Linked DNA regions of Struthio camelus. The protein of the gene in region 3 binds, or shares a complex with, the protein of the main gene of each other region. Links are inferred from orthologs where the notes say so. Each region holds a gene or a part of one and is shown on either strand. Other genes may lie near its edges.

What was found. The genes of interacting proteins can lie anywhere in the genome.
Region 1: STRN3 (region 3) and STK25 share a complex: the UniProt entries of both Homo sapiens proteins name them as parts of the core of STRIPAK complex. The link is inferred for Struthio camelus from reciprocal best matches to the Homo sapiens genes STRN3 and STK25.
Region 2: STRN3 (region 3) and STK26 share a complex: the UniProt entries of both Homo sapiens proteins name them as parts of the core of STRIPAK complex. The link is inferred for Struthio camelus from reciprocal best matches to the Homo sapiens genes STRN3 and STK26.

Annotation. Positions count from the first base shown.
Region 1 is NC_090950.1:3,606,447-3,616,624, forward strand, and holds the start of STK25 (serine/threonine-protein kinase 25), read left to right. Parts: upstream 1-5,792; 5' UTR 5,793-5,875; exon of another isoform or gene 5,876-5,879; intron 5,880-7,437; 5' UTR 7,438-7,512; coding exon 7,513-7,563; intron 7,564-10,178. UniProt on the Homo sapiens protein: Oxidant stress-activated serine/threonine kinase that may play a role in the response to environmental stress.
Region 2 is NC_090952.1:24,282,728-24,292,388, forward strand, and holds the start of STK26 (serine/threonine-protein kinase 26), read right to left. Parts: upstream 4,387-9,661; 5' UTR 4,270-4,386; intron 4,154-4,269; 5' UTR 4,065-4,153; coding exon 4,023-4,064; intron 1-4,022. UniProt on the Homo sapiens protein: Serine/threonine-protein kinase that acts as a mediator of cell growth. Modulates apoptosis. In association with STK24 negatively regulates Golgi reorientation in polarized cell migration upon RHO activation.
Region 3 is NC_090946.1:53,286,496-53,296,264, reverse strand, and holds the start of STRN3 (striatin-3), read left to right. Parts: upstream 1-5,919; 5' UTR 5,920-6,126; coding exon 6,127-6,447; intron 6,448-6,622; exon of another isoform or gene 6,623-6,751; intron 6,752-9,769. UniProt on the Homo sapiens protein: Calmodulin-binding scaffolding protein which is the center of the striatin-interacting phosphatase and kinase (STRIPAK) complexes.

The DNA.
Region 1 (10,178 bases), on a different chromosome or scaffold from region 3:
TCGGCATGAACGGTGCAGCATTCAGAGAGTTACTCAGTTGTACTTTTTATAGTAAAGTTTTAACTCATGCTAGCCTAAGTAACCCTACCTTCAGGAAGCCTACTAACACCTAGCACTCCCTCTAAGGCTAACTGCTGTGCTCCACATCTGTGGTTATGCTAGGAAAGTACTAGTGCCATTGTGGGCTCTCCAAGCTCAGGATGCCTAAGCTGCTGCTGCAAGCGATGCTCCATCTGCTCAGCACGAGGCAGAGGGAGTAACGCCATGTCACGGCTTATGGTGCTGGCATTAGCTATGTCCAGTCATGTTTGCTTCCTGACAAAACTGCCCTTTTGAACAAGAGTACAGAGAGCTGGAGGGGCATGAAAAATTCTTCCTTATGCCCTGAGCCCAGCTGTTGCTTACAGTGAGGTACTCTCCTGCTTCACAGTCAGTGAAACCAGGGTCGCTTCAAATCACTCCTCCTCCCTGCAGCTTCTTATGTTTATGTGGCAATTCAAGGCCCCACAGCACTGGGTAACTTGCACGTTTCAAGAGATAGTACTTGTCCCATCAGAGAACTACCTTCGTCCCCGAGAAGGGTAAAGACACTAAGTGCTCAAGGAGCAGCAGACAGAGCTTGACGTAGGCTGAAGGTGGAAGAGGAAGATCAGTTCAAGGAAACCTCACCAAGTCACGAGGGGTGAAGGCAACAGTTCTACCTGTTGCCCTTTCACAGATCAGAGATACCAAGAGCAGAGCTTTATGTACAGAGAGAAGACAGAGCAGTACAGAATAAGCTGAGATGGCTAGCCCAATCTAACCATGCAATCCTGTCACTTAGAAGCTGTTTCCATCTGTGTGCACAGTCATGGTCATCTCCTGCGACACACGCTTCACTCTCTGCTGTTTTACCCTCACAGCGTCTGAAATGCTATTATTGTCCCCAGTGCAGACACGGGAAACTGAACCAAACTTGGCCTGGGCCACCCAGCAAATTAGGTAGAGCAAGAAACCTCAGGGGCACAGACTAGTGATCTAACTAACCACTAACCATCGCCTTCCTCTGGTCCCCACTCAGCCACTCGGTTCTCCTTTGCAAGCGGGAAGAAACTTGTGCGCTATAAAGCTGAACAGTGCACAGTACTCAGTTATTGGGTTTGACCACTGCTCCATATCCTAGCATGAAGGGCTGAGGGAGGTAGACCCAGCGACCCGCACAGAAAAGGAAATATTTTATATAAGAGCAACAGAGTAATCAGGATTCGGCAGGGAGGGGAGAGCTTTTACTTGCTGCTTTCTTGCGAGCAGGATGGGGCTGCAATACACTGTTGCCACCTGGTGGCAGCAACAAAAAGCAAATCAGATTTGCTTCCAAAACCCTCCGACCATCTCTGAGGGCCATTAAAAAACCTCCCAGCTTTGTCTGGCAAAGGACACTTGAACGACTCTCCAGTCCCATTGCATCAGTGTTAACTCTATGAGAGGGAAAACAGGATGGAAAGCCCTGAGTTACTGCAGGCCGAGTGAGCTAGCCCCAGGACTTGGATAACAGCACCAGAATCGTCCATCTCCAACAGACTAGCAGCTACACCTCAACAGGGACCGAGCACATCTCACAACTAGCCACGCTGTACCTCTCTGCTCAGTTATTTGAGGGATACAGCTGTTTGAGGTGCAGTGCAGGCATCTCAACAAGTTTCTCAAGAAGTAGAGACTGAATTAAATCCTGGTGGTCATCTGTGGGGGTTTTGAGTAATTCATACCAAAAAAAGCCATCAGTGCTTGAACCAACCACCAACAGACACCGCCTTGAAAGAGTTTCATAAGCTGAAGCAGTTAAGATGTAGAGCATTAGTTCCTGAGGTCCTTTCTGCACAGTTTGGTTTGGCCACTGAGTAATTCCAACCCAAGGCAAGGCTGCAGAGATACCAGACGCTGTTTCCTCACTAGCATTCTTTGCTTTTGACAATTGATTCAGCACCAGGCTGACCCTCTTTAAGATGTCTTATTATACTCATTTTTCTAATGAGTATAATACCCTCTCCACCTGACCCAAGTAGCAATGCAACAGGCAGAGATATGTTAATGCAACTACAGCATGTTTACCTTTAAGCAGGGAAGCAACTTCGAGACATCTCACTGAAGAGTTTCTTGTTCTCGAAAGCACCTGGTGAAAGGCACTGACCATCAGGAGAGCTGGCTGCAGGATCCCTTGTGATCCTGTTTGATATTTCCTATGGAAAAGTAAAAGATGTGTTACTTCAAGGGAATGTTTAAGAGCCTATCAGTCAAAAAGCTTCTTATAGCAACTATTTACACCTATCTCTGAATTTCACATAAACATAATGGAGTGGAACAGTTTATTGGACAAAAGTTTGAAATGCCTCATTCAAGGTTTCTCTGTTAGTGAGAGAATTACCCGTCACCTCAAGCAGTATTTCTGCCACACTGTCAACAACGTGCAACATAGTTTTCAGAAGTAAATCTTTTTACAGGGAGAACGTTAAGCAATTTAATTAGCACTTTATGCAGGCCAGTTAATTTCCTCTACCTACCCTTAAGTAGTAGCAATAACCTCAGATGAAGAAAAACTGAATATATATATATATATATATAAAAAATGAATGAGCATTATAACCAAGAATCGTGTTCAGGTGTCAACCTCATGGCTCCAATTTGGGCAAAACATTATGCTTTGAAACCCTTCTTCAGGCAGAGGCTGATCTAGAGCTAAAATCTTCAGGTTTCATTACGAAATAAGAACAGGTGTCTGGAAGAGATGACCCTCCAGCTCTTAATCTAGTTTTTTTTTATTCCCAATCTCTAACCTTCTGCTTTTAAGAGTGCCAGAAAAAAAAAGAACTAACAAATCAGCTTATCCCTTCAAGAAAACAGTACTTTTTAGAAGTTATTTGCTCTCTGTAGTGAGGAGAAAACCCAACAATATATACAAAAGTCATTCGTTTTTAGCCTTATTTTCCATACAACGAAGCATATACAGCCATATAACACACAGATGGCAAACATGCATGCGTGCGTGTTTACATAGTTGACCCTTTCCCTCTCACAGGTTTTGGCCAGTTGTAACCAGCTTGGGAAGAGGCGTCGCAACAGCCAAAATACCAAGTTCCTACAATTTTGTGAAAGCAGACAGGGAAGAACTTATTAATGGCACCACTAAGTTAAAGGCTAACCAGGCCACCTTTTTCTAGGCGTCAAAGGACTTGCACAAAACAAAGGGACGGCAGCAAGGCTGGCTCAGCTCCTAGAGCCGCTCTTTCCATCAGCCATACTTACTTTCATGACTAACCTCATCAGGAACAAGGTAACCTTCCACGGAGTCAGAAGGAACTGCCTGTTCGTTTTCACACTGACAGGGCTAGGGGGAAAAAAAAACACAGTCTTAATCCCAGAGTCCCTTTCAGATAGCCCTGCTTCCTTAAGGCCAGGTGAAAGCTTTAACCCTAAATGGAAAGCGATACACCTTCCGTAGGCCTGGTGCCTCCAACACATAATTAACTCCCCACTGCCTTCCTTCAGTAGAAATATTTGCTCTCTCTCATTTGTCTGGCTGGCTTATTTTAAACTTAAACCTCTTGGAGGCAAGGACTGTGTGTTTTTTCTGGGTAGGTACAGCCCCTAGCACAATAAGCACCAAACTTTTTGGGTGCTAAAGCAACAATTATACATAAAACTTGCAGCATGATTGTTCTGTAATCGCCCTTGCAAACGTTAAAAAATATACGAGCTGGTTTCCAAGAATACAGCATCGACCAAAAAGTAGGGAATTAATGGAAGAGGACATTTTTATTTTGCTTCTGCTCCAGTTGATATGTCGCTGAAGGTCAAATGGAGGAGGTGATGGACACAAACATGCCATTGGTGGCCATAGAGAAGTTAAGGCCGCCTGCATCCCCAGGGACAACACTTTGGCACTGCGTGGTTTTGAGTACATTAATAACCCTCTCCTCGTAAGAGAAAGTTAGAGGAATAACTGCCTCACAACGAAGCAGCGATCTCTAGGCCTATGTGGTTTGCCAAAAGCAGACCGATTAGCTATTGACCTGTAAATGGCTTTTTCCAGATGGCAGCTGGACCACAGTTTTCATTCCAACTTTCCTGCTCATCCAAGTATCCTGTTGCTAAGAGGCAGACACCCCACCGGTCCCAAATGGGAATTCAGGTCGCACCAGCCTACACCTGAGCGTGCTTGTCTTCCTGCTCAAAAACTGCTGGCCAGCTTTTGCAGTTTCTTTTAAGATGGGAACTCAAGTACTGATCATCCTTATTAAAGACTTACCCTAAACCAAGCCTACAAATCTAGTTGATTGCCATTCCTCCCAGCAGTTCAGGGTCGCTATTATCACGCTCCTGAACTATTCAACACTGGGCCAGCCTAAGGTCTAGGGGTGATGTTAGTGAGACAGCTTTTTGGCTCTGTTCAGACTTGCTGTACTTATTCAACCTAATAAACATTTCTGTGCGGCATTTGCCACCTTGCCAAGAATGCAAGTACATGGATAAACTCCTGAGTCTGCATGATATAAGAACCCAGGCCATCAGGGTGAAACACCACCTGAGTCACACACACATGGGGACTCATAACTTTCCCTACCACGTGGGTGACACGTGTGTGTGTGTGCAAAAACATGAGCAGAAAGGCAACGTTTTCACCCCTTCGTCCTTTCTGCAGGAGAACTGGAGCATAACCGCATTTTTCCTTCCTTTCCCTAACTGCTGATTTTCTTTCGCGCGTCAGGTATTTCAGATCAAATAAAGCTTCGATTCCTCTGCGTCTCCCTAGACTTTTTAAGTCAAGGTGCTGCGCTGGGACAGGGATATGGGTGTGAGGCGAGGTTATCATCATGGAAAAAGCTCTGTGCGTGGGCAGCCACGTCGGAGGCAGAAATTTGTGCCCGTTTTGTTAACTGAGAGGAAAACTTCCAAGGCCAGTTTTTAAGGTGACTGGCAACAGAAAGGCGGAAAGCGGCCTGACCGGGCTGCTTCGCTTCCTTAGGAAATATTCCCAAACCCTCCGGTTTCCCCGAAAGAGGGTGAATTTAAACGGTGCTCTGCTGGGGTTTGTCGGGACGAGCTCTTAGCATGGCCGCTGGGAGGATGAGAAGGCCGAACCCTCAGCACACCAGGGCGGGTTTCCTCATTCAAAAGCTTAACCAGCCACTGGAGAGAAAGAAAAAAAAACCACCACCACAATGAGGAAAGCGCTGCTGACCAAAACGCTCGCTTCGCCCCACCTCCGCTCACCCAGCTTTTTTTTTAGCCACCCAAATTTGCTCTTTCCAGCCCAGGCAGGGCCTGTCTCCCCGCAGCAGAAGCCGAGGAGCCGCGGGGAGGGGAGGCAGCCGCCTCCCGAGCCCCTCGGGCCTCCACACAGGCCGCGGCCCCAGCGGCGCCGCCCACCCCCGACCGCCTCGCCGCGGGGGCCACTGGGATCGGTAGTCCTGGCCCCGCCCGGCCTGCCCGCGCCCGCCGCGCCGCAGGACTCTCTCTCCCAGAAGCCCTCGCGCCCACGCCCTCCCCTCCTCCTCCTCCCGCCGCGCCCCCGCCCGATGCCTGCCGGGCCGTGTAGTCCGCGGGTGCCGCGTCGCCAGGGGCGGGCGGCGGCGAGGGAACTACGTCTCCCAGGAGGCAGCGCGGCGCGGCCACCTCACCCCCCCTTCCCCGCCCCCCCTCCCCGCCGTGCTCTTGCGCCCGGCCCTCCCCTCCCTTCGCCCGGTGTTCCCGCTGCCGAGCTCGGTGTCCCAGGGCGGCCCCGCGGCGGCGGGGGCGCGCGCGAGGCCCGGCATGGCGCCGCGGCGGCGGGGGCGCGCGTCGCGCGGGGGCCGTTGGCCGTAGGGGCGGCGGCGGCGGCGGCGGCGGGCTGCCCGCCCGGGTAGGTGCGGCGGGGCCTGGGGGCTGCGGGGGGCCGAGCGGGGCCGCTGGGGGGAGGCCGCGTCGCGGGGCCGTGCCGGGGGGCGTCCTGAGGGGGCTGGGGAGGGCTGGGGGAGCCCCGGTGGGAGCACTGGGGAGGGCTGGGGGAGCCATGGTGGGAGCCCTGGGGTGGGGTGTCCTGAGGGGGCTGGGGGGGGCTGGGGGAGCCCCGGTGGGAGCCCTGGGGTGGGGTGTCCTGAGGGGGCTGGGGGGGGGGCCGGGGGCGCCCCGGTGGGAGCCCTGGGGTGGGGTGTCCTGAGGGGGCTGGGGGAGGGGCTGGGAGAGCCATGGTGGGAGCACTGGGGAGGGCCAGGGGTGCCATGGTGGGAGCCCTGGGGTGGGGTGTCCTGAGGGGGCTGGGGGGGGCCCGGGGGAGCCCCGGTGGGAGCCCTGGGGTGGGGTGTCCTGAGGGGGCTGGGGGGGGCCGGGGGAGCCCCGGTGGGAGCCCTGGGGTGGGGTGTCCTGAGGGGGCTGGGGGGGGCCGGGTGAGCCCCGGTGGGAGCCCTGGGGTGGGGTGTCCTGAGGGGGCTGGGGGGGGGGCCGGGGGCGCCACCGTGGGAGCCCTGGGGTGGGGTGTCCTGAGGGGGCTGGGGGGGGGGCCGGGGGCGCCACCGTGGGAGCCCTGGGGTGGGGTGTCCTGAGGGGGCTGGGGGAGCCATGGTGGGAGCCCTGGGGTGGGGTGTCCTGGGGGGGCTGGGGGAGCCCCGGTGGGTGTCCTGGGGGGGCCGGGGGAGCCCCGGTGGGAGCCCTGGGGTGGGGTGTCCTGAGGGGGCTGGGGAGGGCTGGAGGTGCCTTACTGGGAGCACTGGGGAGGGCTGGGAGGGGTGCCCGGGGTGGGGTGGCATGCCCTGGGAGTCTGTGCCCTGAAGGGACTGTGCTGGGGCTGTGTTGGGGTGGGCCAGGGCGTCGTGCGGGGCCGTGCAGCGTTGGGGTGGTTTGGTTGCTGGCACAGCGGGGCGCCCTATGGGACGGGTTGCTGAGGAGCACCGAGCTTGTTGGGTCTGGGGGTGCTTTGGGGTGGCGTGGGGTTGGGGTACCCTGACGAGGGGGAGGAGGTGTGCTGGGGAGCTTAGCTTGGCAAATGGATGCACTGGGGAAAACGGTACCCTAAGTGAAGCACGCGTTGAGAGGATTACAGGGGAGCCCTAGGATGGAAGGGGTATGTGAGGATAATCCGGTGGAGCGTCCTGGGGATATATCCTGGGAGCTGTGGTGACGGCAGAGTGCCGTAGCGGCAAATATACCGGGGAGCGTGGTGAGGTAATGGCAGGGAAGAGGGTGCTTGAAGCTGTGTCGGTGCCTATCGTTAAAATGAGGTTCCTGATCTGTCTGGAAGGCACGTCTGGAGAAAAATTGCGAGGTGGGGTTTGCTGATGCAAGGAGGGGCTGGCACACTTTGAACGGGTTGATGGGGTCCGAGGCAAACTGCAGACTGAGCAGAAAAAGTTGAAGGTAGTTTTTTGGGGGAATGAGCCAGGCTCTGGGAACCTTGAGTTAGAGTTGCTGTGTTCTTGCTTGTCACAGCTGACCAGTGGATGAGAAAGCACTGCCTTCCCGCTGTGCTACAGCAACCCAACCTCCCTGATTTCGCAGACGCGGATGTCTGACCATCCTGTAGGCATGGCTCACTTGAGGGAATTTGCCAGCCAGGTAAGTGAGGATTAAAGATTTGTTTTAAACTCTTGCATCAAGAGCAGACATAACGCTTCCAGCAGGTAACTTTTTGCCACTGTTTCTCTCTTGCACACGTCTCATTACTCCTGTTAGCTGATTGATTTCTGTCTTATTCCCTGGTGGTGTTTGGCTGACAATGTTAGGTTGCCCCGCTGTATAGTGAGGGGATTCTTCTTCCAGTGCAGTGCTCCTCTCTGAGGGTAACTCTGCTCTTAGGGAGAGAGAGATCTTTGTCTCTGAGTGTTTTTTTTAGGAGGGCTAGGCTAGAAATGGGATCAGAAAAGCTGCGTTTACAGACTGCGCCAGATGTAGTGTTTTGGCAGCGTTCACAAGAGTAACCTGGGAAGAATAGTGCCTGTAACCCTATGCATGAAGGGTAGCAAAATTTGGTACTGAACACGTCTCTCTTCTGAGAGAGATGTCAGCCCCAGGGGATGTGGTTAACTCCTGTTGTTGTGATGCCATTTTCTTAAGAGGACATGGAAGGATGATGTCGTGACCTGGGACTTAGAACTGAACCACGTTAATAGTATCAGCTTGAATCTTGTTTCTTCTGAAATTGGTTGTGGAGTATGTTTGACTATTGGCAGACGTCAATACTGAATATAGACCCTTTTAAACCATGTTTTAGGAGAATTCTGGCATTTTTCTATTCTGTTCCTAGATGTAGAATTAAACGCTAAAAGCTTTAGTGGTTTGAGATAATGCTTTCTCCAAGCCTTTTCAGCATAACATTGATTTGCAATGCATCTTAGTTTGCATGCTGTCTTTCACATAAACTGTTTCCCCAAACAGTTGTGGAATTAAATGCAAATATAGAACCTGAATGAGTCATAATACAGGGAGAGAAATGAAAGGAATAGGAGAGGATGCTGTTTAGTTAGGACTGGGAAAATTTGAAGTGGCTGAGTTCAGTAGCTACAGAGAAGGTTCCTCTCAAGCTTGTAAATAAGTAGGTAGGAGAGTCGAGCTGAAAGCAGCTGATAAAACCAAGGAAGATAATTGTGAACAGAATAGTAGGGAATTAATGAAACCATTTGTGGATGGATTTATGTAAATACCGACAAGCTGTCAGTTTAGGTGCGATGAGCTTTTTATATACAGCATTCACTGATAAGCTTATCAGAGTTCCAGGGCTCTAAACTCTTAATTTATTATATAAATATCATGCATTCTCAGATTCTGTCATACCATGACTCTCTGTCTGGTCCTAGAATAGGAAAGCAGTCTGTGTTGTCCGCTCCTTGGATCTCTTCAGGAATCCTGGATGAGACCTTGTAATCTATGCGGTTGAGGCTTGTTGGAGGGCAGTAGGAATTGTGCTGAAGTTCTGCTTACCTAAATTTAGAGAGGTGTTGTGAAGATCAAGAGACTATAGGACTTAGACTGGGATGTCAGAGGCTTGGCTTAGCTTGGATTCCCAGCAGCGCTGACATGCTGGGTTACCTTGGGCAAATCACCAAGTTGTTTTACCTCTGTGCTTTCATTTCCCTGCCTAGGTTGTTTAGGCCTTCTTTTTTTTGATTGCCCTTTGCTGTGTATATACAGCACAGTGGGTCTCCACTCTTTGCTGGGAGCTCTGTCCGCTAGAAGATGTGTTTGCATTACAGTATTTAAAGCTGTGAGCTGATTTCTGAGTCCAGTTTTGCTGCTCCTTAGGTGACCTTGAGAATGTCTCTCAGGTTCTCTGACTCAGGAATGTTTTGTTGCCTTGAAGCAAAAGACTACTATCTGTGAAGCAATTTGGCAGTCTCAGAAAAATGATTATATTTGTATTTCAAAATGTTATTAACTGGAGGAACTTACCTCCTTAGCTATACTCGACAAGTTCAAAACTGTCTCAGGCGCAGCCATTGAAGAGAGTTGGGTACTACTTTCATATGGACAGGGAAGCTTTCAAATGTTTCCAGGTACAAAGCTGATTTCCCCAGAAAGAACATAGTGCTGCTTCAGACATCTCAGTGGCCCAAAAGTCAGAATGTAGGATGCAATGTGGAGAAGTGCTGGATGGGAAGTTGGAAGGAGAGGAGAGAATGAAGGAAAGAAGGTCAGTAGCTGAGGTCTATTAAAACCAACTTCTTCCTTCAGCTGTGTGTGGCAGAGGAAAATGATATTGATCTGTTTGGCTGGTTGGAAAGTACTGTAGTCAGAAGTGAGAACACTAAACGCTGTTATAGTTCGATATAAATCTTTGGAGACTGCCAAACTCCAAGTCAGCTGCAGTTCTTAATGTGTCCCAGATAGACTTGACATCCTTTTTCTACACCAGACTTCTCCCATACAGGACAGTGACTATGATCCTGACCTGCCCCGGACTAAGAAATTCTCCTTTCCAAATGGGTATAAGCACCTCTTGGTGTTCTGTGCAGCAGATGCAGGTGTGACTCCTGCTCACAACGCTGAACGCAGCTCTTCAAAGAGTGAGCTGGAACAAAGCCAGAAACAGCCCAGAGAGACTATCTTGAGGTGATTCAAAGGTCATTTATTTCTATTCCCAATGTGGAGCTTACCTTTCCAAGTAGTAGCTTTGAAATGAGAGTGGATACTTCCCCCTCTTTAGTCTCTTCCCAGAGCTTGAGGGTGTCATGCCA
Region 2 (9,661 bases), on a different chromosome or scaffold from region 3:
CCTAACGCCAGACTGTTAACTGACAGCACAGAGGGCAAAGCTCACCTTTCCATCCAAGTCTGTTTTTAAATTGTGAATCACAGTGCACTGGCTGACAGGTCACATGTTTCTAGCTGCTCTGCTTTTAGAGGAAGTTAGACTCTTCATTGCAAGACAGTCTGAATGCCAATAAAAGCAGATGGAGATCAGGTCTAAACAACCTTGCTGGCTGCGCTAAAGACTACTGCCATACAGGATCAGGAGATATCAACAAAGCCACAAGAAAAAGAAAATGTTTAGATGAGCAGGATAGCAGAGTAGGATATACAGAGAAACAAAGCCCCAAACCAGGTTCCAGAGACACACATGTCGACAAGAAGAAACACAAGTGACAGAACCACCAACATTTCCATTAATTAAATTAATATTTCACAGATTTGGATTTTGCACAACAAATTAGAATAGGAAAAATTTACACACAAGAACTCCGTCAGCTAAAAGCAATTTCTTGAGTGATGTTTCATTGCTGAGTTTAAGGACTTGTTCAGAACTTTAGCATGCTGACAGACAGCAAGATTTCCTCGCTCTCCACCCTAGAAAGGTTAATTGCTACTCATTTATAAGCTTCCAGATAAGAGAGGCTGGAAAGTTCCGTTTTAAGATGTTTCAGAGCAATATGAGATGATGCCAATAACATAAGCTCATCAGAAGATGCATCGACCTGAAATGCACGACACAGCAACTACTTTAAACTTTCTGATCATTCGAAACAAACATAACACTTTGAACTATGCATCTTGCCTGCTGGGCAAGAAAAAAACAGTAGCGTAACACCCCTAATAAGATGTCCAACACCTTCACTCCAGCTCTGGTAACACTTCTATTTTCAGCACAGTCCCTTGATTGATGAAAGATACTGGTAGGCTCTAACCTCTTTCTTGCAAGCCATATCCAGAAACACTCCCTAACAGTTAAACCAGATTCCTTCAAGAGGGTGCCAGCGGACCAGTTTCTCACTGTACGATCTCAAAGCATTCCAGACTAAGAACTCTTTCAAATATTGTTATCCCATTAGAAAAAGGCACAAAGTTACAGTGACATTACAGTAAAAAACAAACAAACAAACAAAACTCCAAACAGACACTCAAACTCATGGCAAATATGCTTCATGCAACCCAAACACCTTAACTGTTCTCAGGTAGCTCCATCAACCTTTCATTTTTCCTTCTAACCTGAGATGCTACATAAAATGCCATATTCTGGGGTATCATACTCAACTTCAGAGCACTTATTTTATAGATTCATTAAGTATTTTGATTTCACTAAATGGGCTAAGCTGGACAGCTGGGTAAGTTAACATCATACAGTTACAACAAAGAGAACCTTTCCAAAAAGTGAGAAAAAGAATGTGCGTAGGAAGTCATTTGCAGAGGCAAAAATTCTTAGGTATAAAATTTGGTTTTGTTAGGAACAAAAGGCAGGTTAAAGAGAATGCAGCCACTATGTACACAAATGGTTCTTTAAGTACTCTTAAGGGCAACAAATAACACTACCTCTGGGTCTTCCATTACTGACAGGGTACTGCAAGTCACTGCCTGAGTTCGCCAAAATAACTCTATGTGACCCTCCATTGTTCTCTCTGTTTGATTTTTTTTTTAAGGGAAGCTGACTCTTCATTAGATGAAAGGTCTTAAAATAGTCTAAAGAGCTTCTGTAATACTCCAGTGACAAACAGGCAAAGTTCTCCTTTTGCAATGGCTATGGGAATTATGTAATAACGTATTTCTGATAACCAGATTTTGCTATATAATGAAGTGGGATGGAAAAAACAGGACTATAGCATAACTGAAAACCTCAAACCTGTAACACATTCTCTGGCAAATTCAGTTTCCAGCTGTTACCTTCAAAAAAATGCTTCCCTCAACACAGGCTACAAGACAAGGAGATTGAGACTACAGGCACTTTCCCACAGTGCTAGTTTTAACGTAACTATTAGATCTTCTTCCATTACACAAGAACTCGTTTATTCCTTCTTCAATTAATCATCATGCATTTATTTTAACATTGAGCCACTGAGCATAAGCAGGGACACTTTTATAAATCACTTAGATGATCCTGACTAAATAGTTCAAATAGGAGTTGCTTCTTCTGTTTTTAACCTACACTTCACACTAACAGATTCTTCTAGATTATATATGTTTTCAAACTGTATTATGACTCTTCTTAAAGAAGAACTAGCAGAATAATTTTGCACTAAATTCAACTTCTTCATATTATAAGAAGTTTCAGGACTTGTGTGTTAGTCTTCACCAAAAAAAAAAGTCACCAAGGGAAAACAGATCTTAATTCTATGCAGCTGTACATATGTAACAGTTAAAAAAATGCTTTAAACCTACAAACATATCTTAAGAGGTCTGGGTTAAACTAACAACAATACCAGTGGAACTAACTGTGCCACTATATAAAGTTTATTGGTTTAACAATGCAAAACAGGGCTTTAAATAATTTCAATGTCTTTTGTGATGACAGGGCAGCTAAGGAAATAGGAAAATAAGCAATTAATAAACTTAGATTTCGAAATGTAAGTCTCCCAAATAGGGGAACACTTGAGGGAAGAAAAAAAAAAAAAAAAGAGATATAAACAAAAGAAGCTCAATCAAAGCTTCTGAATCTTTACCAGGAAATTCTTTAGCTTCCCATTGTTAAATATGTACCAATAACAACCTTGATATATCAGTAGAATGGGGAGACTTGAGAAAGTGTGGTTTATGTCCTCTTTCATCAACAGAAAGTCAGTGGAATAAAAAATTAAAAAATAGAAGTTAACAGATTTCTGATTTCTAATAAATTGCAGGCTGAGAAGTAACACAAACCTTAACATTATAACTAACCTAATTTAATACATAAATACTGTTTATACGTTCATTCCACGCTTCTTAAAACTGATGAAGGTATTTGACCAAAATAAATTTTAACTTTCAGTTTTGAAACCTCCTGAACTGTTATCTGTGCATATCTCACCTATACAGAGATACAACGTACAGGCTTCTATATTATCTGAATCGAAGAAACGCTAGACGTACAGGCATGACTACCCCACAAGTGAAAAGAAAGCTGAAAATACTGCCTGGGTTGCCAGTATCCGCCAAACATAAACCAGCACTGAAATGAGCTTGGTCCTTAGCGCCTTTAGGTTCAGTAAAGGCCTCAGACCAAGCTTACACTAGCCTGTTCAGAGGAATAAGAAGTAAGAGGCAGAGGTATCCTGGCTTTCCTAAGAAAAGTCAATTATATACGGGCTTGTGCGTATTTTTAAGCAAATACCACAAGCAGGATCACACTAAGTCTCCTTCCTAGTCAGGGAGCGGCGGAAGTCCCTGACAGATGAGGGCTCCTAGCAGGTGGCCGGCCGCTCGGCTGTACACCGGACCTCACCTTGAGCATCCCTCAGCAGAGCTCACGGCGGTCTCCCCAGACCCAGCGCCACGGGCCCCGCGCCGAGCCCGCTTCGGCGGGGAAGTCCTGCCGGAAGCACGCCGGCCGGCCAGGCTGACATGTCATTTACAGCACACCCACGCACCCTGCGATTAACTTCGGTTTTTGCCTTTAATCAGCTGGAGAAGCTCTTACGTGCGGCTGGATGCGGCGCGGCCAGCTCGGAACAAAGAGGGAAGGGAGGGAAGCCCTTGGCCCCCGCAGGTGCCCGGCCCGGCGGCCGCGGGCAGCTCCCTCCTCACCTCATGCCAGAGGGGGAGCCCGCCGGGGCCCCGCGGCGCCCCCCGCCCGGGCTCGCTGCGCAGGGACGAGGCGCCCCCGCTTCCCCCCAACCTAGGCCCGGCGCCTGCCCCGCGGCGCCTCGGCTCGGCCCGGCCGGGCCCTGCTCGCCAGGGGAGGCCCTTCCGCGGCCAGGCCGCGCCGCCCGCCCGCACCCGGCGCCCCAGCGGCGGCCTCCGCCCGGCGGGGCCGCGAGCGCCGCTTCCGGAGCCGGGGCCCAGCCCGGGCCCGTCGCCTCCATTTTGGGGCCGGCGCGGCGCGCTGCTCACCTGCATGCCGGGTACTTGCACCGCCACCGGCGAGTGGGCCATGGCGGGCTGCGGCGGCCGGGCGCCGCCCGCTGCTCCCCTCTCTCGGCCTCCCGGCTCCTAGGCGGCGGCAGCGGCGGCGGCGGCGGGGCCTGGAAGGACAAAGCGGCGGGGAGGCGGCTTCAGCGCGGGCCGCGCTCCCTCCTTTCCCTCCCCGCGCGGCCCGCCCTGCCCGGGAGCCGCCCGCCCGCCCGCCGGCTCGGCTCACCTCGCGGGGCTGGGGCCGGGCTGCGCGACGCGGGCGGCGAAGGGAGGGGGGGTCGCTAGCGTCGCTCTCCCATGCCCGCCGGGCTCCTAGCAGCGGCCCTGCCGGCTGGCGCCGCTCGCCCTGCCCATGCCCCCCCTCCCCGGGCGCGGCGCGGCGCGGGGGCGGCGGCCGGCGCGCTGCGGGGCCCCCCCCGGAGAGGCGCGAGGGCTGGCGGCTGTCGGCGCGGCTGGGGCTGGGGCTGGGGCTGGGGCTGGGCTCAGAGCGCCATGGCGGGCTCCGACAAGAGGCAGCGGCTGCTGTACGGCGGCGGCGGCGGCTCCTTCCGTCTCAGCTCTGGCCTCGCGGGGCGGAGCTGCCGCCGCCGCCGCCGCACGGGCCGCGGCGTCAGCTGCCCCCGCCTCTCCGACCGCCTCGGGCCGCCGGGCGGGCGCGGAGGGAGGGGCGGCGGCGGCCGCCTCGGCGCGGGGACCCGCTCGGCCACGCGCGTGTGTCACCGTCCCGCGCCCTGAGACGCGCCGTCGCGGCGTGTGGGGCCGCGGGCGTGTGGCACCGTCCCGCGTGTCCTGAGACGCCCTGTCACAGCGTGTGGGGCCGCGGGCGTGTGGCACTGTCCCGCGTGTCCTGAGACGCCCTGTCACGGCGTGTGGGGCCGCGGGCGTGTGGCACCGTCCCGCGTGTCCTGAGACGCCCTGTCACAGCGTGTGGGGCTGAGGGCATGTGGCACCGTCCCGCGTGTCCTGAGACGCCCTGTCACAGCGTGTGGGGCTGAGGACATGTGGCACCGTCCCGCGTGTCCTGAGATGCCCTGTCACAGCGTGTGGGGCTGAGGGCGTGTGGCACTGTCCCGCGTGTCCTGAGACGCGCTGTCACGGCGTGTGGGGCTGAGGGCATGTGGCACTGTCCCGCGTGTCCTGAGACGCGCTGTCGCGGCATGTGGGGCCGCAGGCGTGTGGCACCATCCTGCGCCCTGAGATGCGCCGTCACGGCGTGTGGGACAGCGGGTGTGTGTCACCGTCCTGCGCCTTGAGACGCGTCGTCGCGGCATGTGGGGCCACGGGCGTGTGTCACCGTCCCATGCCCTGAGACGCCCTGTCACGGCGTGTGGGGCCGCGGGCGTGTGGCACTGTCCCGTGCCTTGAGACGCGCCGTTGCGGCGTGTGGGGCTGCGGGCGTGTGTCACCGTCCCGCGTGTCCTGAGACGGGCCATCACAGCGTGTGGGGCCGCGGGCGTGTGGCACCGTCCCGCGCCTTGAGACGCGCCATCGCGGCGTGTGGGGCCGCGGGCGTGTGGCACTGTCCCGCGTGTCCTGAGACGCCCTGTCACAGCGTGTGGGGCCGCGGGCATGTGGCACCGTCCTGCGTGTCCTGAGATGCCCTGTCAAGGCGTGTGGGGCTGCGGGCGTGTGTCACCGTCCCGCGCCCTGAGACGCCCTGTCACAGCGTGTGGGGCTGAGGGCGTGTGGCACTGTCCCGCGTGTCCTGAGACGCGCTGTCGCGGCATGTGGGGCCGCAGGCGTGTGGCACCATCCTGCGCCCTGAGATGCGCCGTCACGGCGTGTGGGACCGCGGGTGTGTGTCACCGTCCTGCGCCTTGAGACGCGTCGTCGCGGCATGTGGGGCCACGGGCGTGTGTCACCGTCCCATGCCCTGAGACGCCCTGTCACGGCGTGTGGGGCCGCGGGCGTGTGGCACTGTCCCGTGCCTTGAGACGCGCCGTTGCGGCGTGTGGGGCTGCGGGCGTGTGTCACCGTCCCGCGTGTCCTGAGACGGGCCATCACAGCGTGTGGGGCCGCGGGCGTGTGGCACCGTCCCGCGCCTTGAGACGGGCCGTCACGGCATGTGGGGCCGTGGGCGTGTGGCACCGTCCCGCGCCTTGAGACGGGCCGTCACGGCGTGTGGGGCCGCGGGCGTGTGGCACTGTCCCGCGCCTTGAGACACGCCGTCGCGGCGTGTGGGGCCGCGGGCATGTGGCACCGTCCCGCGCCCTGAGACGCCCTGTCACGCCACCCTGTCTTCTTAGGCACGCTGACACAAAAATACAAGCAGTCATGCACATTTTGTATTTTTTTGGCAGTGTCCTTTCAAGGCTGTTGCAGAAGAGGTGGCACCTCCTGCCTCATGGGCGCTCCTGGCAGCCGGCTTCAGAAGGGTGGTGTGGACAGGTCTGAGGTTTCCCACCAAGGCCAGCTCTCCCACTGCCCAGCTCCAGCTGCTGTGGGACCAGCCTAATGTGTACTTCGGCCCCACCACCTTCTTCCCTGTGGGGGTCAACCCTCCCTCAGATCCTGCCAGGGTCTGGAGAGGAGAAAATAACAGTGTTTTAGGGGACATTTGTGTATGAGTCACTTATTCATGTGTATGACTCACCTTCCTAAACGTGAAGGTTTTGCCATTTACTCATGTGAAGCTAAAAAAATGACATCTTTTATGAGGCTGGTCTTACCCTCACCCCGTTGAGCAAGAATATAGAAATCACATTGGCCCATTACGCTCATGCCCAGCTACAAATGTCCTTGTGAGCACTTGTGGCCGTCCCTCAAATTCACAGATTTGTGGGTCTCAAAGCCAAGAAAACATAAGGTAAGTTGCTCATGTTAGATGGAGGCTGGGTTGTTGTGCACCCCAGACCTACCTCGTTCGGAGGGTGGTTCCCTTGGTTAGGGACGTGACTGAAGGCGATCTTCCTCCGTTACGACATGGAGAAGTGTTGCGCTGCAGCAAGGAGCACAAAACACCTCTGTGTAAGGTGAGGTTGCACTAAAACAGTTTAAAGCCAAGAATTTCAAAGTTAGGCAGACTTTCCATCCTTAACTCACTGTGGCTTGAACCCAAAAAAACCTCACAGTGATGCTAGTTAAGGACAGGCTTGTGGCTCATGCTGGAATTTTTTTTTTTGACTTTCCCCTTTGTTAGACCTTTAATGTTATTAAAATATTTAGTTTTCCTTTGCACCTTTTAAAAATACACAGCTTTAAAAGGCTTTTAAGTGACAGTTACAGAAGTTATCAAGGAGCCTATAAGGAGATCGGTTTCATGGGTGGCGTATTTAAGGTAAGTATTTTCTGGGGGTTCATACCATATACTAAGATTCAAAAATGTTTCTGATTAACCAATAAACCTTTGAGGAAAAGGGCTCATTTATATTAGTGAAAAGCTTTCTTAATTGTTGTGTGCAACGGTTCAACAAATAAATGAATGAATATCCATTGAGGGAATTCCTGACTCCTGCCTGCTTCACTCTGCTCAAGCTTACTTAAATCGCTTCTCATCTTACCTTTTAATGATCTTTAGAACATGATTTCTGAAAAAAATCCCCACATGAAACGAAACGTGAAGATTTTTGTTCCACACTGCTAATGCATTACCGTTGTAGCTCCCTCTGTTCTGACTCTGAGGCTCTGCATTTCTTCCCCCCCCCCCCCAAATCCTGCTAACTCGTTATCTCAGCCTAATCTGAGACATATTTCCTTCTGAAAGTATCTATTCACTTTAATTCAGAGAGCGTCCTAATTGCCAATCCATGCTTCCTGTTTTGGGCCACATACCAAGACATTCAGCCTTTTATGCCTTTCTAACTTCTTCACTGCATCCGGCTTAATATGGCATGAAAAGGATGGTAACATATTTACTTAACAGAGAAAGAGCAGGGCAATTGGTATGCATGTAATAATATATTTTTCCCAGTAGATATATCTGCTCCCCGCCCGTGGCAGATTGGCTGAGAGAGCTGCAGTGACAAGAACATAAGCAAAATGTTCTGCAAAAAGGTAACACTTGTTTATGCCATGCTGGCTCAGAAGGACCTGGGATGATATGGTGAGCGAAGCCAGGGAAGCAAATCTGTCCGGGAATCTTAAAGTAATCAGGCAGTCATGTAACGACTGAATCATCAAGCCAGGCTGTGAAGTGAAGTAGGATGGCACCATAGCATCTAAGAAAAGGGTTATAATATTATATACCCCTCTGTAATTAGCTAGCTCGAATTTGTTCAATAAGAAAGTCATATGGTCAGTGGCTGATATTGCTGCGTGAAAGGCCTTCCCTGCCCCCTCCCACACCCGGCCCTGTAAATACTCGTTGCTGCTATTTTTCAAGATTTAAAACGCATCTACAATTCACCTAGGGCAGCTCACAGGGCCTCATAATTGAGTTGTGACCCAAATCAGACCTTCTACTGTATCATGCATTTAACTACTGGTTTTGTGTTGCTGGTGTGAAAATATAAATAATTTTTACATTAGAAAACTGCAGGGAGCTAGTAAGAACACTAGGCTCTTTGACAGCGCTTGTACCATGTTAGCTGGTTTAGACCTACCTCCGAGGGGTAGAAGTTTCTCTCAACTCCCAAACATTAACAAATAAAATGTAATTATTTACACTGTTAAGTAGAAAATCACTGCATTTTATAGCTGTGGACTCCGTGGACTCCATGCAACGATTTGCTGGGGTGAGGGAAGGAGCGGGTGTTTGATCCCATCAGACTCACATGTCCATCTAGGAAATGCCATGCCAGCTTCTACACATTGGTGGCAGATCTAGGTATTTAAAACCCTTCAGTGCCTTTGGCAAGCTCAGCTGGATGGTGCAGTGCTGACCCTGGGGCTGCGTTTAGAGGGGACTCCTTGGCTGTGGCCAGCACAACCTTCCTCTCTAAAGTCTGGTCTATATTCAGTAACGAGAAAACACAGTTCTCCTCCTCTACCCTTTCTCAGAATACAAGCAGCTCAGCTAGCGGGTCATCCTGTAGAAGTGGAAGACAGTATCCTAAATTGTTAAAATCAAACGCCTTTCATGTTTTTACCTTCAAAACATTCTGCCAAAGGTGGTGTGGAGGTTAAGAGCTGACCGAAAAGAGTTGACCTGAAAAAAAGCCTGAATATTTATTTTATTAATTAGAACACCAGTCATAAAAAAAGAAGCATGAGAATATTTTAGGAAGGATATAATTTCTCTGGTCTTTGATATAAATCAGTCTCTGATTCATGGGCACTAGGAATCACTTTTTCTTAGAGGCAAGTTATTCAATGGCTGCAGAATTTCTAGCACTGCTGCTGGAAACTGTAGATAATAGCAAACAGGGAAGACAGATGTAGGTCTCTTGAATCCCATATTACAACTTCGATATTTTTATAACCAGTAAATCATTTAAAATTATAAAACTGTGCAGTGAGACCAGAAACGGTACCGCAGTCCACTCATTTCTGCCCATCACTTTCCTTTCCACGTCCTGCATCCATCCTCCTTGCCTCCCTTCATCCTCTGGCTCCCATAGCATCCTCCCTTCCCTATTTCTGCTGACTTCTGCCGTGGTTATTTCCAGCCTCCTGCTGCCGGTGTGCAGGGTAGGTGAGTGTGAGGACGTAAAACAGAGGCTTTCTTGGTACCAGCATGG
Region 3 (9,769 bases):
TTAAAATAGATATGGGTGGGGGGGAAAAAAAATCACACAACAAATCACAAAAACAGGTTCACACAGGCTTATTTCAGAAATGCTGCTGAAAAAACTGTTCTGGTAACACAGCTTGTTGACTGAGCCCTGGATTTCAGAACCAGCGGAGCTGGTTCTCTGAGAACAATGAACTAGGTAATTAGAACAAAAAAAGGACCTAGAGGGATATTTATTACGGGATCTTCACTGTCTGACGGCCGCTTAGGTGTACATTTATGATTAAGTGGGAATCTGTATGATCCGTTCTGCATTTCACATGTGGCTCTTTTTACCTGTTCTGTTTTGTATTTCTGCTTGAAGTTACAGAGTTGCAATAAGAGGAGACGTCTTACTATTTTGAGGAATAAAGAACAAAAGGTAAAACACTGAAACGAGTGAGTCACTTTTGGATGCAAAGCTTCCAAAAAGCAGCGGTAACACTGAGCGACTCCTTGCAGACCAGAATGAGGTACTCTCCCTGAGACCAACCTTGTGAGCAAAAGGAACTTAAACCCTGAAAGCTACTAAGAAAAGGGTTGCGGTCTGAAAGAGGAAAAACCTAAGAAATGCTGCCCATTGTTTTTAATGAAAAACTACCAAGCTGAGAGACAAGAGACCAAGAGCACGTTCTGCCTCCCAACTGCAAATTTCATCCATCTGAGCAACACAGGTGAGGAGAAAGATATACACAATTTTTCCTTTTTTCTTCTTAGGTTTCCACTTCAACTTTGTGTTTGGTACTGCTGACGTATGAATTAATAGTCCTTTGTTTGAGCAAGTTGTTTCTAAGCTATTTTGATAATTTAGTCCTGTGTGGTGCGCAGGAGCATAACCAAAGTCCTGTTCTCAGAAAGCATGCAAGTTACATAATTCCATCTTAGAAGAATAAAAGCCTGAGGCGTAACATGTCAGAAGATATTCAAGTGAGACCTGAGAAAGGGAAGACAGTAAAACTACCCCAGTAGCACTGACAGAGTTGTTGCATTTTCAGTTACCAGTAAAGCAGTATCTCACAGAAAAAAAAGATGAAGAATTGATACATGTGGATCCTATTGCAAGATTGGCCCTGAATCGTACTTTCTACATGGTTACTCCTTTTCTAATGTCATGACTATTTTATCTGGATTGTTTTACACATGAAAATAGCGTGGATCAGAATTCCTTTTTAATCCTTACAAATTTTCTTATCCGAATAGGTATAAAAAAAAGATTCATGCTGTAATAGAGGTAGAACCATAGTAGAATTGGAATGTGTAATCTGTAATTTATGTGGCAAGCATTATTTACAGCATTGGAACAGGTGATTAACATACAGAATGGAGATGTCCACTGGTATCACTCATCATTTATGTAAGTATTTTCCCATCAGGCCAAAAGATAGCCTCCAAAATTACACCCATAAATTTTGCTCACAAAAACGGCAACACAAGCACACAATTTTGTGTGGAAATACTGGAATAAATTCTCTGATTTGAATGTACAAATAAAAAAATAATTTCAAAAAGCATGCAAACATCATTTTGGAAGCTGCCTTTGAGAATTACTCTAGTGTTAAAAAATTACATCTTCAATTTGTATTTCCTTTAGAAATAATTCTGAAAAATTATCCTGTAGAAACAAAAGCCTATGCTTGCCCAGTTTAGGCAAAACAATTAAATTACTGAGCTCTGTTTCTATCAACAGAATTTATTTCTCCTCTTTTCATTTTCACTTATAGATAGAATGTGTTAAAATGAATTTTCCATAATTAAAATGTAAAGAGATCTGTGAAGTGTAATAAGCAAACAAAAAGCATATCTATGCATGATGACGGGTCGAGAATCTCCCACTCCTCCATCAAGCTCTATGTATTTTAGAAGCTACCATTTATGATCAATAATCAAGTCTCTATTTAGAAATAGAGTCATATTTCCTGACACAATTCTTATGTGTGCTCTCCCACACATACCTGCACATGTGTATGTACAGTCATACAAATGCAACATGAATCACTGTTTTTATGCATACCGAATCAAATGGTTCAAGGGAATTGATGCAAAATGCAAGCCTTTCATATCTCTGCCATTTTGCTCATTTTAGTAATGAAAAGACATTACTATCTGAAGCCTGTTTGTCAGAAATGAATAGGCATTCTCATTCCAGGTCAGTGGACAACTATCTGCATCACAAATGGGCTTAGGAACAGAGGACTAGAAGGGACTATCCAGATCCTGATGGACTGTCAAGTCCAGCTCTCCCAATCACAGGCAACCATGCATTAGAAATTTTGTCCAGAATAGCCTACAGCATTCTTCCTCCATCTGCGAAATACCTACAAAACCGTACGACAACATGAAGACTCCTGAGAAGCAAAAACCAAAAGCCTCAAAAAAAAAAAAGTATACGTAGAGAACGGGGCATCAGCAAAAGACATAAAAATGTCTTAAAATTGCAAACTTTCCCTCAGAACAAATTACCTTCCCGAATGACTGCGTGGCTCTCCACTTCCTTTGCAAGAAATCTCTTCTGTAAGCATAATTGGGCATAATTATCTACTACAGCGCAACTACTGTAATTTAAACATATCTTGTCATACTGTGTTTAAGATTTTACCCTCTTTAAAGTGTCTCTTGCAGATAAATAGCTATGAGAGAAACTGGTACCATGATTGGCTTGTGTGATTCACAGTTGTAGACTGATAGACTGCGCAATCTTTGATGAATTACAATACAATGGCTTTAACTCACTCTAAACCAGCAAGCAGACAGGCTGAAGACTAAGGACCTCGGCTCATGAAGAGATATGCCTTTTGATTTTAGTGCCCCCAAGCAGGCTCATCCTCCCCTGCCTGAACAGATAGCTAAGGTGTGTGTGAAACAGTTATCTAACAGCCTTGTATTTCAAGGCAACCTTTTATTTAAGACAATCAAACCTGTTTGGTTTTCTGCAGAATGACGAGAAACGGATGGTTCAGGAACACGGCTTCCAGGACAAGCCAGCTCTGTAGGCATGTAGTAAGCTCATGAGATACCTCAATGAAAGTTGTCTGTTTGTGAGTCACACCTCTAAACCAGTATCTGAAGGCAGTGGCTGAAACCTTTTGGAGAGGCACAGCCTGCAATACCTGTTCTGTAGATAAAAGGGAAGCCTTAAATCTCCAGGGTGGCCAACCTAGCAAATTCCACATGCAGTAAATCCAGGAAAACATAATTTTAAGTACTCTTCCAGTAGATGCAAACACTTGACATCATTAACTTATTTTGTCAAGAGATTCCTCCAATATTCATACATACTCTGATAGATATATTACAAAAAACAAAAAACACACAACCTGAGTTTGAGACTTACATCTGGCATTACAGCTGTCACTCAAATTGGATTTCTGTCTACTGTACTGCTATCACAAAGTTTTGCAACAATTCAGGGATCTAACTTAAAATGTAAGTAAGAGATTATATCTGAAAAACAATAAATGCACAACTGCTTTTTAAAAATCTGCTTTGCCAAGAGTTAAAACTGAATGTTAGATAGAACTGTAAGCCTGTAACTTACTGCACCGTTCAACTCAACACAAGGGTATAAATGAACATTGCACTGGTTTTCTGGATGCAGAGATGTGTCTTAATTTGCATGTACTATCTGTAGAACAAAATGAGTTAAACTGTCAAGAGAAGTGAAGAGAGAGAAAAAGGCCTAACTGGTAGGGGCACAAGCAGGCGACAGCATGGGAACAAGTATTTTTGACATACACATTAGTCTATTAAACTATCTGGCTATGCACTTATTGTGAAAAGGTAAGTAGCAAATGAAGACCGCTCATGTAATCAACACCCTTATCCTTCCTATTGTTGTTCTCACCATGGACAAGGCTTTAATAACGGTCATATACAGTTATTACTACTTATCAGTAACAGTACTTGTTTTTATATGGTAGATCTTGTTACTGTACAAAATACAGTTCATCTAAAGATGAAACACCTTTGTCTATGCTGCTTTAAAAGAAATCACTGTGTTCAGCTCCAGGATCAGACATTTAAAAAAAGTAACCTTATTATGCTAGGGAAGTCAGGGAGGAAGGAAAGAGTAAAAAAGTTTTCCTTTGCTGCTTAGTTGTCAAAATCCTGGCTGAATACGGTAACAAAATGAAATTGCAGTAACTCCTCTATGTTCAGGAACAGGGAGCGTCTTAAGACAGTAATTGAAAAAAGGCTAAATTTGTTGAGAGGTTAGTATTCGTTTTTGGTAATGATTCAATACTGTTCATTGGACAATGAAAAAAATCTGCTGATGTTGAAACGACTCGGATTTAGATAGGCTAATCTGCATGGAATCAGGAAGCCCGCAGGATTAAATTTTAGTAGGAAATGATTCAGTGCAGAAGACAGATAGGAATGGGTAAAACAACTGAAATATCATTATGTACCTGAGGAGAGATGAGTGGAGAAACACCAGTACCGAATGAGACAAGTAGTAGCTATTTTTTAGTAATTAACACAATTCCAGATCTATCTGGAGCAAGCCTTCTTTAGGAAACTACCCATATTCTTACTGAATGAGTACAGTACGCAGACATTTGCAAGAGAGGCAAAAGAAAATCCATCTTACTTAAAATGGGTGATCTGCAAGTCGTTTCAAATAGGATGTGATGATAATTTATAAATGCTGCATTTCACAGCAATAATTTGTAACTGGGATAATTTGACCTTATCCATACTACAGCAATAAATGGAGCATTTGCTATCACAGATAAAACTAACCAGATGAAACAAATCAGTAATGCCCTGAAAAATCTCCCTCGTGTGGAAAAGACTGGGAGAAAAAGAAAGGAGAGGAGACACGGACTGCCCCTTCCCATCAAGGGACACAGGAAAACGTTACAGAAGTCCCTTACCCTTCAGTGACATACTCCAAAAATGACCATTCATTAAAAATGATCAGGCAACTTCCCCAGACATACCATGCATTTAAGAAAAGCATTCTAAAGTTCCCTACTTGTGAGGTAAATTAAATGTACCATTAAACTACACCGAATTTTAAGGACTTAAACTCTGCGACTTCTCATCTGTTTTTCTGCACATCAGTTTAAACAGCGAAGCAGCGCCCTTGCCCGCACCGCCGGCCCCTCAGGCCGGGGGCTGCCCCTAAACACCCCTTTAGAAAAACAACACGGCATCTTTGGCCTAACGCACCCAGCTTTATTTCTTATAAAAGGAAAACGATGAGCTAAGGCCCACAGCACAGCTAATGGCCAAAGCTAGAACTATTTCCACCAACTCTTCTAATTACTTTGTAAACTCCCAGAGAACGGAGCTTTTAAAACTTCGCGGGCTGTATCCCGGCACCACGTTATTGCCGAAACTTCGGCCATCGTGACCTCGGTAGCCTTCCCGCAAGCCCAGTGCCGCCGTTGCTGCCTGACGGACAGCGAGAAAAGCGAAGAGCGGCGGCGCTGCCGCCCCCCGCCGCCTCCCCGCGGCGCGGCGGCCGCCAGCCCGGCCACCATCTTAACTCGGGCCGCGCTGGGCGGGGCGGCACACGGCGCCCCGCGGCGGCCGGAGGGGAGACAGGAGGGAAACGAGGGCCATTGCCCGAGTGACTACCCCTTGGTAGCGTGCCACCGCCTAAACCCAGAGCGCGATCTGTCCCCGGGTGCGGAGCGAGAGGCAGGAACCGCCTCCGCGCCCTCCGAGGGGAGCGGCGCCAGCAGCGCCGCCGCCCGCCCGCTCCCACCTCAGCGCGCTCCCCCGCCCCTCGGGCACGGCGCTTACCTCGCTGGCAGGCGCATGCGCACGCGCACCGCAACGGCCGTGCCCGGCCGGGAGAGGGAAGACGGGGGAGCGAGGGAAGCGGTTTTTCCCGGCATCCCGCGCGCGCCGCGCCGCCCCGCTCCCCCCCCCCCCGGCCGCGGGTGGGTGGGCCGATGGCTCGGAGGCTGTAATGGCGGCTGGCGGCAGCTCGGCGCGGCTCTGACATCCGGATACTGCTCGGCGCAGGCCCCCCCCCCCTTCCCCACTCCCGTCCCGACCCACCCCCCCCTCCTCCCCGCCCCAGCCAGCTCCGCTCACCCCCCTCCCTGGCCCCTGCTCCAGGCCCCCGCCGCGGGACGAGGAGGAGGGCTCCCCGCAGACAATGGACGAGCACCCCGGAGCCGGAGGAGGCGGTGGGATGTCGGCCGCCCCGAGACCGCAGCAGCCGCCGCCGCAGACGGCTGGGAACATGAACCTGCAGTCGGGTGGGGGCTGCGTGGGGGCCGGGGCCGGCGGAGGAGGAGGGCAGCAGCAGCAACCGCAGGGCCCGGCGGCCCCGGCCGGCCAGGAGGCGGCGGGCCCCGCCGAGCTGTCCCGGCCCCAGCACTACACCATCCCGGGGATCCTGCACTACATCCAGCACGAGTGGGCCCGCTTCGAGATGGAGAGGGCGCACTGGGAGGTGGAGCGGGCCGAGCTTCAGGTACGGGGGACGAGGGCGGGCTCCGCGGGGAGGGAGCGAGGCGCGGGCTGGGACCGGCGCGGGGGGCCGGGCCGCGGTTCGGGTGCGGGAGCAGAGCCGCGCGGGGAAGCGGAGCCTGTCGGGGCCCGGAGGCCGAGCCGGCCGTCAGAGCGGCCCTGCGGCTCGGCGGCGGTACCTGGGCGAGGTGCGGCGGGCGAAGCGGCGTTGCCGGTCGGCCGGGCTGGCGGAGGCGCAGCCCCTCACGGCCTGAGCTGGGCTCCTTTCCCTGGGGCAGCCATTTTGGTTTTTAGCATGGCGCCCGCCTGGGCTCCGGGCTGCCGAGGCAGCCCCTGCTCGCCAGGCCTCGCCCGCGCTCGCCTGGCGGGGCCCGCAGGGCGCCGAGCGGCGGGCGGGCGGGCGGCCGCTGCCTGGGCGCCGGCCTGCTGCCCCTGCTGCCCGGCCGCCCGGGGCAGAGCGAGGTGCCCCTTGACAGCTGCGGTCAGCTCCCCGAGCACAATGACTCGGGGCCCTGCGGGCCGGCGGCCTCCGCAGCCCTGGGTGCCGCGTACGGAGAGCAAGAGCCTCCGGGCCTGGGAAGGCTGAAGCCTCCCTGGAGCTCAGCGAGCGTTGCTGTGTGGGGAGAGGGGGTTGTGAAGAGTACCTGCTGCCCGAGGAGGCTGAAGGCTAGGAAAGGGTATTCAGGTAAATCTCACGTAAAGGGGTTTCCCAGGCGTCGAGGTCTGGGGCAGGTTGAACGTGTCCCGTCTCTTCCTTTCTCGCTTCTTGAGAGATTTCACATCAGAGAAACAACTGCTGAAGAGCAGTGAGGAGTTGGTAGGTCTGGAGCACGATGGTTTTAATACACATAACAGCACAGACTTAACGTTAGGAACAGAAATTGAACAACCCTGTAGGAGACAGAGAAAGCGTTTGATTTCCAGTGTAGATCACTTGCAAATGGTGTTTGCTTTGAGTGATAGAAAGGGTACCTCAACTAATTGCTTTTTGCACATAAAAATAAAACTGCATAGACTGTCACATTTATATACAAATTACAAAATCTACTGAATTGGAGGTATCCATATATGAATGAATGGATGAGACATTATTGTTGACTATCATTGTCTGTGGCTTTGCCCTAAAAAAATCAAAGTTTATTACTTTCAAATCATTTTTTGTGATGTATGTATTGAGTGAATGTTTACTGTGTTGAAGCAGCATTCCATCAAAGTGCACTGTAATTAATAGCATGTTGCAACAGCAATCAACTTTTGTGGTGGGATATACTTTCAGATTTCAGAAACTAGAACTATACTTGAGCCTGGGCAGTTCTTTCAGGACTTCTAACCTCTGTAATTTGCAGTGTTTTTATTAAAGCTATAATTAAGAAAGAAGCCCCCAAAAAAGTGAAAAATGAGAGGACTTCACTATTTACTTAACTTACTGCAGGTCTTACTATTTTAAGCTTTGTGACACGATTGTTTCTAAAATCAGTTTGGTGCATATTCGTGGGCATTTTCAGTAGGGAACAGTTGGCTATTTCTCTTGTTTTCTCAGCAGTATAGGACTGCGTTTATAAATAAGTTGCCTAGTGGGCATGCATTAGCAAAGAAAATAATCTGAGAATATTTATGCATAGACTTGTTATTTTGAAACTAATACCTCATTCTGAGCTCTAAATGTAAAGCTCAGTTCTAAGACCTTGAAACCTGTATCCAACTGAAAAGTGCTGCTTTTGGCCTCTGGACACTATGATGTGTTCTTGCTAAGTCTCCTGCTTTTGCTTGTAATTGTTTGTCATCCGTGGTCATACTGTTTCTGTTACTTGCATGTTATTTCTGGATGTACTATGGTAGTTCTGACCCTGGCTATGTATGTGTTGAGTCACTCTATTTCATGTGTGCATCAAGTCATGGGATGCAACAGGCATATCACTGCCGTGTATATGTATGAGGGTGTCTTTTTTTATAACATGGCAAGCCCGGGATAGAAATGTAGGGGGCATTGCTATTGGATTTTAAATGTCAACGTGTATGGTGATGATAACTGTTACAGAAATGCGTTGACAATATTTTTGAAAGAGATGTGTTCGACAGGCCTGCTTTGTTCTTCTTCCCCTCTTTTTCCTCTTGTACTCTCAAGCTGTGAAGTCACAGTTCATTCTGTGACTAATAAACTAATAAACAAATAATTCTGTAGCTAATAAAGCCTTAACGTTTTAGACCCCAAACTATTGCCTGTTGAAACTGCTGAGACTGTTGTTCATCTGTGTGATCCTAAGTAGATGTAAGAGTTTTTAGAGGATTTGAGGCCTCCTGGGTTGAAAGGAAACAAGGTTGCAAGTCTCATCCATGCATGTAACTTCTTCCGTTTTTCAACATTACAATAAGCTTTCTAAACAGTCTTTTTTAGTGCAGGTAATTACAGGTTTCTTCCAACCTAAGTTAACTCAATAAGTTTGCAAATGATGCTTTACAAAAGGTATATGGAAAACGAAGTGACAGCAGTACCTTGTGATTTTATTGACCTATTCAGAGGGTTGAATTTTTGGTTGTTACTCTCTGGAAGAATAAGATGCTTTCTTATCTGCAGTATGAAACTAATATCACTGTTGAGTGATTCCCCCCATATGTTTTTTTTTTCTCCTTTCCTTTCTCCTGTGTACTTAAAGTGCCTCAGAGAATTGTTGACCCCTGGTGAGAGTGCCCTTCACATGCTAGAGAAGGTGGGGGGTGTCCTGTAGTAACAGCTTATACTTTTTCAGATCATATAATGATATTGAACACTTTGCTCAGTTGTTCTACCTGTGCATGGGACAAATTTTTATAATTAATTTAAATTACAAGCTACTTATACCACAATCATAATGATTGGTCTCAACTATTTGGTTTTGAAGCAGTCCTGTGCTAGGTGACTTAAGTCACCACATTCATGTCAGTGAAAGACTCTGACTCTAAAAAGTTAATAACTTTGTGCTGTCTTTTCAAACTATTCAGCTCCATGTATGCACAAGTGAAGTGGCATAGTTGTCAAACCTGTGTGTGTAGAGTCGAGTACAGAAATGTTGAATATCGGAGTGCAGTACTTAAAACATAGCATCTTTTTTTCATCATTTTTAATACTGGCTGCCACAGTAACTTTTTTTTTTAAAATTTTCTCCCTGCTGTGTGTGAAGGAACTAATTTGCCTGTACTCAGTGTGTAGATCTTTCAGAGTTATAGGCTGGATTTGTTTTCTCTTCTGTGAACTAAAAGAATGATTCTCACTGTAACAAATAGTGTGTAATTACAGCTGTAGTTTTGATCTGTCCGTATAATGACCTTGATGTTGGTAGCTATTACAC